3 linked regions of the Oryctolagus cuniculus genome follow. The protein of the gene in region 1 interacts with the protein of each later gene in a pairwise test. Links are inferred from orthologs where the notes say so. Each region holds a gene or a part of one and is shown in the gene's direction. Other genes may lie near its edges.

Evidence for each region.
Region 2: the proteins of ARRDC3 (region 1) and NEDD4L interact in binary tests that used the Homo sapiens proteins (3 or more experiments, as listed by UniProt). The link is inferred for Oryctolagus cuniculus from reciprocal best matches to the Homo sapiens genes ARRDC3 and NEDD4L.
Region 3: the proteins of ARRDC3 (region 1) and OTUB2 interact in binary tests that used the Homo sapiens proteins (3 or more experiments, as listed by UniProt). The two-hybrid records come from large-scale screens. The link is inferred for Oryctolagus cuniculus from reciprocal best matches to the Homo sapiens genes ARRDC3 and OTUB2.

The regions. Positions count from the first base shown.
Region 1 is NC_091445.1:14,128,037-14,132,227, reverse strand, and holds the start of ARRDC3 (arrestin domain-containing protein 3), read left to right. Parts: upstream 1-1,341; 5' UTR 1,342-1,668; coding exon 1,669-1,948; intron 1,949-3,760; exon of another isoform or gene 3,761-3,841; coding exon of another isoform or gene 3,842-3,929; intron 3,930-4,191. UniProt on the Homo sapiens protein: Adapter protein that plays a role in regulating cell-surface expression of adrenergic receptors and probably also other G protein-coupled receptors.
Region 2 is NC_091441.1:19,985,060-19,988,621, reverse strand, and holds part of NEDD4L (E3 ubiquitin-protein ligase NEDD4-like), read left to right. Parts: intron 1-694; coding exon 695-754; intron 755-1,990; coding exon 1,991-2,098; intron 2,099-3,562. UniProt on the Homo sapiens protein: E3 ubiquitin-protein ligase that mediates the polyubiquitination of lysine and cysteine residues on target proteins and is thereby implicated in the regulation of various signaling pathways including autophagy, innate immunity or DNA repair.
Region 3 is NC_091451.1:38,893,953-38,898,028, forward strand, and holds the start of OTUB2 (ubiquitin thioesterase OTUB2), read left to right. Parts: upstream 1-1,258; 5' UTR 1,259-1,460; coding exon 1,461-1,463; intron 1,464-4,076. UniProt on the Homo sapiens protein: Hydrolase that can remove conjugated ubiquitin from proteins in vitro and may therefore play an important regulatory role at the level of protein turnover by preventing degradation.

The DNA.
Region 1 (4,191 bases):
TTCCAGATTATTGCTCCGGAGTCCTTAGACATTGCCTTGTCAACTAAAACCCAACCCAGTAAAATTTCACTTCCTCCAAAACAGCAAGGCCGAGTATCATTTATTGTGACTCCCGGGCTCCATCTACCCAAACATACTACGCAGAAGAATCTAAAACGTATGGACACAGCCGTAGCCAAAAACCTTCCCAAGAATTCCTGGTTACGTATATGTGGCTTCAGATTCCCATCTTTTTCTGTCTTTCTATAGCTCTCCTGACAGCAGCTCTGCGGAGGCCAGTAATCTACACGAGTTTGTGCTGTTACACTCTGCATCCCAGTGGGGCGTGACGCAGGCTCTGCTATTTCTTACCGAAACACTCACAATCAAAAAAGACAAATGTACCTATTAGGATGCACGGGAATGACTAGGCTGAACAGTCCAGCGGACAACCGCGGCTCCGCAGAATCCGCATCCTCACTGATGCTAAGAATTATGCTTTCCACACGCTGCATCTCGCTCCTTCAAACCATCGCTCGCGCTCCAGCAACTCCCCACCAAGGCTGTGCGCCGAGCCGCCACCGTGCCACCTGCCTTCTGCAAGGTGGCACTGTGGACGCGAGGGCTGCAGCCGCGCACCCTGCACCCTGACTCCGGCCACGGCTGGCGTCCCTAACAAGGACCTCGGCTTCCTCGGGGGAAGCGGGCCGCCTGCCCCCAACGTCGCCAGCGACTCGCTCGGGGTAGCCGGAGCCGGCACAGCCCCCCGAGGGGACGGGACCTACGCCTCTTCCTCGCTGCCTTAGGGCGTCCGCTCCGCAGGCCCCCTTTTGGCCTCCAGGGAGCTCACTTCCACCCCGTCTACAGCCATCTACGGACGCGCATAAAATCCACGCCGAGACTGCTCTCGTCTGTGACCACGATTCCTGGCCCGGTTTTCAGGACTTTTTTTTTTTTTCCTCCCGAAAGTCGTTAGCTCAGGCTCAGCCACCCAGCCGCTGGCCCGACCGGTTTCTCCCCCTTCCTCCTCCTCCCAGGCAGGCGGCGGGCGAATCCGCGCAGCGCCGCTAACGCGTGCGCCGGCCCGGCCGCCCCTCCACGCGGCCCGCGGTCCCTCAGCGCCCCGCCGGCGGTCGCTCTGTCAGAGGCCGCCCGGCCAGCGGCTCCGGGGAGCACGCCGGGGCTTTCCGGCAGCCCGCCCGCCAATGGGAGCCCACAATGCAGCGAAGTCCGGCCGGGCCTCCCGGCAGCGCCCGTGCCGGCTTCCCCGGCTCCACGCCTACTGTACCCGCGCGCGTGCCCGGCGAGGGCGCGAGCGCGGCGCGGCGCGGCGCGGCGGGGGCGCGCGCCCGGGGGGCCGGCGGCCGCGGCGGCGTGCGCGTGCGCACTGGGGTTGTTTTTCACAAAGCTGCTCTTAAAGTGAGCTGGCAGGCTCCGGCCGCCCGTCTTTGTAAGGAGACCACTGAGACGGGCGGGCGCGCGGAGCCGCCGCCGCAGCCTCTCTGCTGCCCTGACTTTTAAGAGCTCTCAATGAACTGTCTGTAAGGAGCTACTGATCCTGCCTGCAAGGGTTTGCATTTTTGCACGGCAGAAGCATCGATCAGTGTTGAGTGAAGATCCCATTTTATATGCGATCTTGACTTTTTTGGGGGTCTTACATTATATTTTTTATAGATTTTTGTTATCAACATGGTGCTGGGGAAGGTGAAGAATTTGACAATAAGCTTCGACTGTCTGAATGACAGCAATGTCCCCGTGTATTCCAGCGGGGATACTGTCTCAGGAAGGGTGAATTTAGAAGTTACTGGGGAAATCAGAGTAAAATCGCTTAAAATTCATGCAAGAGGACATGCGAAAGTACGCTGGACGGAGTCTAGAAACGCCGGCTCCAATACTGCCTACACGCAGAACTACACCGAAGAAGTAGAATACTTCAACCATAAAGACATCTTAATTGGGCACGAAAGAGGTAAGTTTTCCTACCATTCGGCAGTCTGCAGGCTGGCTTTCTCGGGTGGACGTGGTTCTCGCAGCGTAGCTCGGCCGTTTGCTGGAGGCTAGCAAAGTTGCGAGGTTTGGGTTCTCCTTGACGGGAGGCTGTAATGCGTGCCGGCATCTGCAAAGCGACTGCAAACTGCACCTCGTCTCCACCACCCCTGGACCCGGCTCGGGCTGTGCCATACGCACTTGCGGTCCATTTGCACCTCACTCGGAAATTCTGCTTGCCTCCGAGTCCATGATTTTACTGCTACGTTTTCAAATGAATTGATGAAAGCTGCGGTCCGGCATCAGATTTTTAAAATTTTTTCCTTTTTCTTTGCAACCTTAGCTCAAAACCTGAGCTTGAAGGAAGGAATGAAATAACATTTTAGGAGGGTTAGTAGATGTGTTTCCTTTTAATATTAACGTGCAAAGGACTTTATAAGGAATTGATCATTGTTCTTTGAGAGAGGGTTTCCCTGGCTTATTTTGACATATGGTATTACCAACACCCCACGTGTTTTTTTTTTTTTTTAACCTCTTCTTTCCAATGCTTTGGGAATTTTGCATCAAGCATTCCTTATTTTAAAAGACAGTATCTATCACCGTGGCCGGTGTTCAGTCAGGTTCAGAAGCCATTCAGGGCCAGCAGTTTCTTCTCCAAGCATCATGTCTAACTTTGGAACGTGCATTCAATGAAACCCTGCCAGTCCAATGGAATTGAAAAGTAGACCGCACACTGGACTTGATTTTTGGTTAGAAGGGGGAGATGGAGGGTTGTCAAAGGGAGAGGGGGTCCTGAGATTTCCCCTCTATTGTTTAGATGGCTACATTGTGGAAATATAGGAGACTCTAAGCTTGTTTTTCTAAGTTTCCACCCTTTGTTAGAAGCGGTTCAATCCTGTTTCGGACCAGTTCTGGGGGGTGGTGAGGAGGGGCGCTTGTGCAGCTCTCAGCAGATTGGTTACACGCGTCAGGTGGTGGCGATGACTTAATTCTAGCCCAAGAAGAATATAATGTTAAAACTGGTTATGTAATTTTGTGCTTCTCCTTTTTAATGCAGTATTTAGTGCAAATGCTGACTTTTTCAGAAAGAGGCTCGCTTTTATCTGCGTTTTTATATTCAAGATATACATCCCAGGGAAATGCTAATTGAATTAAGGGAAGGGAGAAATAAAGGAAGCGTTGAGTTACAGCATTATTGCATTTTTTTTTTAAATGCTCAGGTGAAATCAGTTCTTCGGCAGGGTTTCCACAGTTCACCTAGGTGGTTTTGCATCTTGAAGTAATTTCTAGTTCATCTTCCCAAGCGTTAACTCTGATAGGAAATGCAAAGCGCCTGATGACAGTTCTGCTGTGTGCTGCAAAGCGCACACGCGAGTTTGATTTCGAGCCTTTTATAAAATGAGAAGAAACAAAAGGTTTTTCTCTCAAGAGTTGAGCCTTGCAGTGAAGGGAAAGTAGAACAATGCGTTGGGGCGGAAAGCAAGGTCGTTAGCTGCACCTCGACTTCGTGGTGAGGAAAACCGAACGCCCCGCACCCAGCCGGGCGCCCCCCGAAGCCGGCCACGCGTGGACGAGCTTCTGCCTGGAGTAGTTTCAATGACTTTAGCTGAGAGCTCTCACACGAGCCTGGCAGCGGAGGCCCCGCCCCGGGCGGCCGGCGAGGGGCGGGGCCAGGTTTGTTAGCCTGTTGCTAAGGCGATGCCGGGCGCTGATTGGATTGGGCCGGCGCGGGTGGGGAGAGTGGGCTCCGGCCGGCTGGGGCGCGGCTTGGAACCGGCGTGCGCCGGTAAAGGTCCCTCCCGAGCGGCCGCCCCCGCCCGCGCTCGCGCGAGTGCGTTCCCGGGCTTCCGTGGGCTCCCGGGGCCCGCGTCGCGGCATGCCCTGCTGCTGTCCCTCTCTCCGGCCTGTTGGGGCCACGAGGGGGACGCCTCGTACGGGGCGCCAGCCGCTGCCGGCTTTCACAGGTGCAGAGTCGCCCTGGGCGCAACTTTTGGCCAGAGACCCTCGTAGAGGGGGCTGGCGTGAGGAGAGCGAGCGGGACCCCCGAGGTCGCGGGCGACGTGTCGGAGTGGCTCCCTTTCCTCTCGGCTGCCACAGACATGTGCCGACTGTCCAGTCAGCAGTCTGGCTACCTTGACGTGACCTGAGGGGGAGTCTGGCACTGGCTGGCCAGGGCAAAGAAAAGTGGTTTCAAATCCGGGAATCTGGGCGGGAGGGGGTCTCGGC
Region 2 (3,562 bases), on another chromosome or scaffold:
GGGGCGATGGACTTGTCATTTCTGGGTGTTCTCGCTTTGGCCGAGAGTGAGATTGCTTCATCAGGGAGGATGGCACGGGGGACGCCCCGCCCCCGTGTGCCCAGCCCCCGCTGCCTGCGCAGAGCTCCCATTGGGTGCACTTCAGGCACTCTCCCGCGATGAAGGAACCTCTTGCCCAGGGGGTTCTCAGAAAGCTTCCGGGTCGTGCTGTGTGAGCACAGATGTCAGGGTCACAGGTGTCATACTCCGTTTAGGTTCAAGACCCCAGGAGGCAGGTGCCTGGGCCCCGCCCACCCCCAGGTTAGTTAGTTGGGGACCACCTGGGGACCGAGCCTGGTCCCTGTCCTCCCAGCCTCTGCCACCCCGGGTCGCACAGCCTCCTCTGCGTTCCTCCGCCGTGTCTGCCGTGCACCTGCGGCCTGTGTGTCTCAGGCCTGTGTGACTCGGCAGCATCTCAGCTGGCCTTTGGAATCCACCTGCCTGCAGTACCCTGCGTCTTCCTAGGATTCCAGCGACTCCTCAGGACCCAAACTTCCTAGAGTCTGTAATTTTCAGAGCTTCCGTTGTGACTGTGCTGTTACTGGAACTGTGGTTGCTTTGCTGCTGTCAGTCATCAGTAAATACTCGCTTTTCCTGTAAGTTCTGTTTCTCAAGGAAAAACGTGTTTACGGTGTTTTTCGCTTGTTTCTTCCAGGGATTCACAGAACTCCTTCCCATTGACCTGATTAAAATTTTTGATGAAAATGAGCTGGAGGTTTGTATCATCAGCAGTTCACGTGGCTGCTTCCAGTACCTATCACCGCCTTACAAATGACGCTGAAAAGCCCTCGGATCCCAGTGTCCTAGGGAATAGTTTAGGTGACTTCTGACCCCGAGCTTCCTCGGGGGTGTTTGCCGATTGGGGCATAAGGAATAGAAGAGCAGTAGACGGTACATTTCCTGTTTGTGGCACTGGGGCTGGAGAGCAGACCGAGTAGCACAGGCCCTCCAGGCTGTGTGGGGTTCCCGGCCCTGTGCCCCCGCTGTGCTGGCCAGGCCACAGCTCCTGCGCTGCCTCCCCAGTGCCCCCAGGGCTAGATGCATCCGCTAGGGGCTACGGGACAGGGCTCACGGAACTTGAGTGGTTTGTGGCAGGACAGCAGAGAGCAGAAGGCCGGTTAAGGACCGGCTGTCCCAGCTTTGTGGTGTTGATGAGAAATTGCACCCAAAAAGCGCTCGGCTCTACCCCTGGGTGCATGGAGAGAAACAGGAGCAGGAGAGCCTGGACCGTGGAGAAGCACTGACCGGTTGTCCAAGCCACAGCCGGCAAAGCCTTTCTCCGGTGCTAGAAACCTCAGGATAGATGATGTAACAGAAACTGTGTACTATAGGCCCTTGGTTTGACAGGGAGGGAAACTGAGGCAGGGAGGAGGCCGTAACTTCACAGGTCTGCCCAGCAAAGTCTGGGTCAGGCCTGTGAACCCGGCTCCGAGTCTGCCTCGTTCAGTTCTCTCTGCCCTCCGCCGCAGTCCCGCTGTGGGCATCTCACGTCCGTTTGTCCCTGCTGGAGAGCTGCACAGGAAGAGCAGACCTCCGACCAGATGCCAAGTCAGAGAACCAGTGATCCCCGGCCCGTCTGCCTCTGGATAGAGGACGTGGCCGGCAGCACCTGCGTAGGCCAGGCGGGGAGAGACGAGTGCGTGCTGTCACCGGGCTGCGGTTTTCAGTAGTAAGACAGATAAACACTCAGGAGAGGACACAGCCCAGGTGGCGTGCAGAGAGAACCAGAGACGTGAGGAAGGTGACGGAGGAGGACTTTAGTGCCAGTGTGCCTTGTCCAGGCCTCGCACAAGGGCTGGGGTTGGGTTACCCCTGTACCTGTGCTACGTCCATGATGTGTGGCAGGGAGAGTGAGGTGCACCTGCGCGCCTGCTGTCCGTGGGTTGTGTGCATTGCCAACCAGCCAGCCAGCCTGCCTGCGTCACTCACATCTGGTCACTGTCCCCCACAGTTGCTGATGTGTGGTCTCGGGGATGTGGACGTGAACGACTGGAGACAGCATTCTATCTACAAGAACGGCTACTGCCCAAACCACCCGGTCATCCAGTGGTTCTGGAAGGTAACCCGGGCCCCGGCCTGCCCCTGTGCCCTCTCCCCCGGCAGCATGGAGGGCTGCCTGGCACCTGAGGACCGGTGCTGGAGACGGGGTCTCTTAGTGCTTAGAGTGCGGGGGAGGAAGAGCAGACGGTGAGGCAGGGGTGAGGCTGGCCTGGCGCCATGTGCTGTCCTTCCCTGGCCCCCGGCTAAGGCGATGCTCACGGGGCAGACAGCTCCGATAAGGACTGCACTGGTTCCAGGAGCCCCAGGACAAATCCTCATGGCGTGAGCAGCCCCTGGAACGTCTGAATACGAACGTGCTGTGGCCCTGGCTTCCCAGGGGCTGTTGTCTGTTTAAAAATCATCATCTCCATTTTTGTATATCATTCTCTGTTTAAAATCGTCTTTTCCATTATTTTGTATCGATTACAACATTTTGGTTGTAATCAACCAAATGATTCCAACCAGAGATGGAAATGAAACCTCATTTTGCGGCTGAGGGCCAGTGTTCACGTCCTGGGTAGCTGAGGAAGGAAGTGAAATAGGATTTGGGTTGGCCAAGAGACAGATGGCACACCAACTCTGAACAAAGTCACACTCCCCCTCCTCCCCAAATGATTCAGTTACGGGGAATAAAAAAACCTTTAAGTGGCCGGTGCCGTGGCTCAATAAGCTAATCCTCCATCTAGCGGCGTCGGCACACCGGGTTCTAGTCCCGGTCGGGGCGCCGGATTCTGTCCTGGTTGCCCCTCTTTTAAGCCAGCTCTCTGCTGTGGCCCGGGAGTGCAGTGGAGGATGGCCCAAGTGCTTGGGCCCTGCACCCCATGGGAGACCAGGAGAAGCACCTGGCTCCTGCCTTCGGATCAGCGCGGTGCGCCGGCCGCAGCGCACCAGCCGTGGCAGCCATTAGAGGGTGAACCAACGGCAAAAGGAAGACCTTTCTCTCTATCTCTCTCTCTCACTGTCCACTCTGCCTGTCCAAAAAAAAAAAACAAACAAACAAACAAAAAAAACCTTTTAAGTGGTTTCGATTTCTAAGTGTGTACTGATACCTCACGCACCAGCAGAGGCAGAGAGCAAAAAGCAGAGCCTGCAAGTCCTCACCGAGTCTCCCTCAGCTTGGGTCTGAATTCCGTAAGGCGGTCGAACGGACATTACCAGTAGCCCCTGCAGCCGTTCAGACCCGGGCGGTGCCTGGCCTTGCCTCTGCTTTCTGTTCTGTTTACCAAGTGTCGTCTTTGGAGAATGTACCTGCAGCCAGAGTTCCTGTCTCACCCCCCAGTACCCCGCGTGTGGGCACCTCGGACACACCCAGCGTTTACCGTGGGCTCTAAAGGAACCTGCAAGCCCAGAGCACAGAACCGCAACCTTGACGCCATCAGAGTTTGCTTTTCACGTCCTTGACTTTGGCCTGGAGAGAGACAACGATCGCCCCTCGCTGGGACTGGGGAGGCCGGGGTTGCCATGGACTGGAGTGCGCCCAGTA
Region 3 (4,076 bases), on another chromosome or scaffold:
CTCCTCCGAGTCAATCGAGGTTCTGGGGCCGGGTACTTGGCTTAGTAGTTATCGTGGTGGCCGGGATCCGAGTGCCTGGGCTCCTGGCTGTTGACAACCGATTCCTGCTCCTGCAGACCCTGGAAGGCAGTGCTGATGGCTCAAGCCATTGGGTTCCTGCGTCCACGTGGGAGACGTTGACTGAATTCTAGCTTCAGCCCCCAGCCGTTGCAGGCATTTGGGGAGTGAACCAGCCGACAAGAGTGCTCTGTCTCCTCACTGCTTCGCTCCTCTCAAATAAAAATAAATAAAATAAAAACAGCGCCTGACTCACACTGCCTGGGGGCTGAGTGACTCACGTGTGTGCCGCGTGGATCTGGGCACGAACCTTCATCTCCCCGTGCCTCAGTTTCCCCGTCTGTAAAGCAGGGGCCGTAACAGCAGGACCCACCCCACAGTCTTGGGTGGACGTTCGGAGGATACACATTGGGTGTTGGGGCTTACGGCAGGTGCTCTGTTGCCCTGGAGCTGGGAAAACTTGGCCGGTGCGGCGCCTGGCCCTGGGGCCTCTGTGGACCCCCCACACCCCACACCCAGGAAATGAGGCCAGCGTGGAAGACAAGAGCCCAGCCGCGTGCCTGGGCCGGGGGCTGCTGGAGCTCTTCCGCACCGCCCTAAACTGAGAACCCCCAAGCAGAAGCCCGGAGGGGCCGCGCAGGGAGCCCCGCCCCCGCCCGCGGAGCTGTGAGTGACCGCGTCTGCGCCCTGGTGAGGAGCGGGGGCGCGGCGTGGGCCGCCCGACTCGCCCGCGGCCGCAGCGTCAGCCGCCGCGGAGGTCCGCTCGCCTGCAAACCTTAATTTGGTGCGCGGCGACCACTGATTGATGGGTGCACGGTGGTGAAATATTGTTTAGAAGCCACACGGGAGCAGGTGGGTGACTTCATGTTCCTGGACACGTGTTCCCTAAGTGCCTGGCCTCTCATCTTGAGCAAACTATGCTTATGCGACCTTGTTTATGAATTAATGAGGGCCAGCTAATCTTTCAGAGGACTTCAATTTGCAGTTTGGCTCAAAAGCCCTTCAGCCTTTTCAAAGGAGGACCTGTCTTTCTGGGTTGGGATAACTCCCTAGCTACTTAAAAGCTTTCTGTGTCTTTAAAAGGGGGCGGTCTCCTGTCAAATGGACCCTAAAGCATAGGCTGAGACCGCGTGAAGTCCCACCCACTTTCTGTGACGTCCAGTGTCCCGGCTTCTGATTGCCCGCTTCCGACGTCAATCGCGGGGCGTGTGTCTTGCTGGGACACAGTGGAGGGCTAGCCTTTGGTTTGCGGAGCGGTCGGGTGTATTCCCCACTCACGCCAGCGCCCTCGAGGGCCCCGCCGCCCGACCCAACGGCGGAGCCGGCCAGCACCTCCCGTGGCTTCCTCCGGCACCGGATCGCTCCTCTCTGGGGCGGAACCTGGCCCGGCGGCTCCGGTTACTATGGTCAGTGGTCGTGGGGGGAAACGCGAAGAGGGAGAGGGATGGGAACACTGTGGGCGGGGTCGCCGCCAGGGCGCATGTGCACTCGCGGGCCGGGGGTCGGGCTGCGGACTCCGTTCCAGGCGCTGTCCCCACGGCTTTCGGGTCCCCGGGAGTGCGGGGAACCCCGGGGGCGTGTTCATCTGTCGCCCGTGCACGTCCCACCAGGAAGAACCGGCTCGGTCCGCTGCCCCCGCTTCAAGTCCGCCCCAGGTGGCCCCGAGGGTGCCGACCCCAAGGCACCAGGTAGGTGCCCTGGACTGGAGCGGGACCAGGAAGCCCCGGAGTGCGGGACGCCCCCTCTTTGTTAAGCGTCCCAGTGGGCAGCTCACGACCCCACTCACCGACCCGAGGGCTCCGCCATGGAAGACCACCTTCCCCAGCCCCAGGCTCCCCAGCCAGTCCATAAGTGGACCCAGAGGCTGCACTGGTGGCCAGGTCGCCTGTCTCTGTGCGCGGCCAGACGTCCACCCAGGCTCGGACGTCCGCAGGTCTTTGACTTCAGATCCACGCACAGTGAGGCGCATGAGTTGGGGGTCCCGGAACACAGACAAGAAAGACCCCTGATCCAGAGTCCGGTGGAGCAGCGCGGCTCCGGGTACCCTCTGAGCCAGGCCAGATCCTGGACTGGTGTGAGAGTGGAGGAACTGAGACCAGACAGGGAAGGGACTGGTACTTGGACTTGAACTTAAACTCCAAGACCAGTGCTCTTTGTGTTGCGCCGGGGACAGGCATCCTGCAGGGGGCTGGGTGTGAGTGGCTCCCCAAGGCCCTTCACGGAGGGTGGCAGCTGGTGGCCTGGCTTGGGGCCACACAGCTCTGGTTCAGCCGTCTCACCTCTACCCCTTGGAGAGCCAGGAGCTTTACCGTTTTGCACATCCCTTCAATGGGCTGCCATGAGGACCCCGGTTCTCCTGTGAGGTGGGTGTGCACGGGTGCCTGGCCCCGTGGACTTGGTCCCCCCCCCCCCATGGCTGGGCAGGAAAATGGGTCAGTGGTGCAGGATGCAGCCGGGCTGGGGCTCGGGTCAGTGCGTGGTCATGGCCAGGCAGGTTCTGGGTGCTGCGTGGGTGGCGGCCAGGGCACCTGAGCCGGGCTGTCCCTCACAATCCAGCTGGGCTGGGGCATGGCCAGGGGCCCTGGGGCCTCCGGAAGGACCCCTTCCCTGCTTCTGCCTGGGGCCCAAGGGCTTACCTGGCTGTGCTGCTCCTGGAAGGCGACCTGGCATCACTGAGCCGCGAGGGAGGGAGCTGGGGCGGTGACAGCTTTAGTCATGCCGTGGTACCTGGAGGCTGGCCTCTGCCCGCTGGCCACCGCAGGGGACTGAGAGCGGCCTGGGTGCTGGGACTCACCTTCTGCCCTTTGTGCTACACAGAGGGGTCCCTGGCTCTGCCTCGCACCCAGCCAGACTCTCCCAAGTTAGGGGACAGGTGGGGTCAGAGCACCATACTGCCACCCCTCCGTGGGGACCTGGGTGCCTGCCTCCCAAACAGGGGAGCAGCTTGGGAACTCTGGGGAGCAGGAGATGTGTGAGGAGTCTCTTTGGCTCACAAGGCGCCTACTGTGTGCCGGGCACCATGGGCCACGTGGTTTTGCGTTGACTGAGTTGGCCTGGCGTGGTTGGTGGTGAGTTGGGGTGGGTGTTTGGGACAGATGTGCATGTCCTTGGACAGAGCCCCTGCTTGGCTTTCCTGTTTCAAACTCCCTGTCTTTGACAAGTCAGCGGAGACTGGCTTGGGCAGTCCCTCAGCAGTGGACACAGGGCTGCAGGGCGAGACCTGCGCCTCCGTTTGCTGAGCCCTTCACTCGCTGTGTGGTCAGCGGGGGCTGCAGAGCAGGGGAGAACCTCCGGGACTGCTTCCCCCCCTGCTCCCGGCAGCAGGAGCCCAGGCTCCAGGGTGGGCAGGGCCGTGCTCCCCGCGAAGGCTCCGGGCAGGCACTGTGGGAGCACAGCTCCGTCTCCACTGGGTGTTCCCTGTGTGTGTCCCCTTCTGACCAGGGTGCCAGTCATGCGGGATGAGGGGCCCACCTGCCCCAGGGTGACCTCAGCTCAGGACAGCCGCAGTGACCCCTTCCCAAATAAGATAGCATTCAGAGGTGTCGGGGTGCATCCTGGAGACAGCGTCCACCCCATGATGCGCGAGACACACTGGTTTTCTGATTTATTTTATTTTATTTGAAAGGCAGAAAGAAAGAGATCTTACATCCACTGGTTCACTCCCCAAATGGCCATGTGGGTGCAGGGACTGGTTTAGGAAGCAGAGCAGTCGGGACTTGAACCAGGGCATGTGTGGGGTGCGACATGGCAGATGGTGGCTACGCCTGCTGCACCACAACGCCAGCCTGTCAGACGCGTATTTGGAGGATTGCTGCGTGCCAGGACCTGGGCATCCAGCAGAGAGAGGCCATGGCCCCGCCCTGGTGGGGTGACATTCTCATGGAGGAAGCCAGAGTGTGCACCCTACCTGATGAAAGGTGACAGGGGAGGCGGGAGGGGCAGCTTCAGACAGGATGGTCAGGCACGGCGTCTTGGAGGAGGTGACGTCGCCCGAGTCGTGTGAGGGGGCAGGGGAGTAG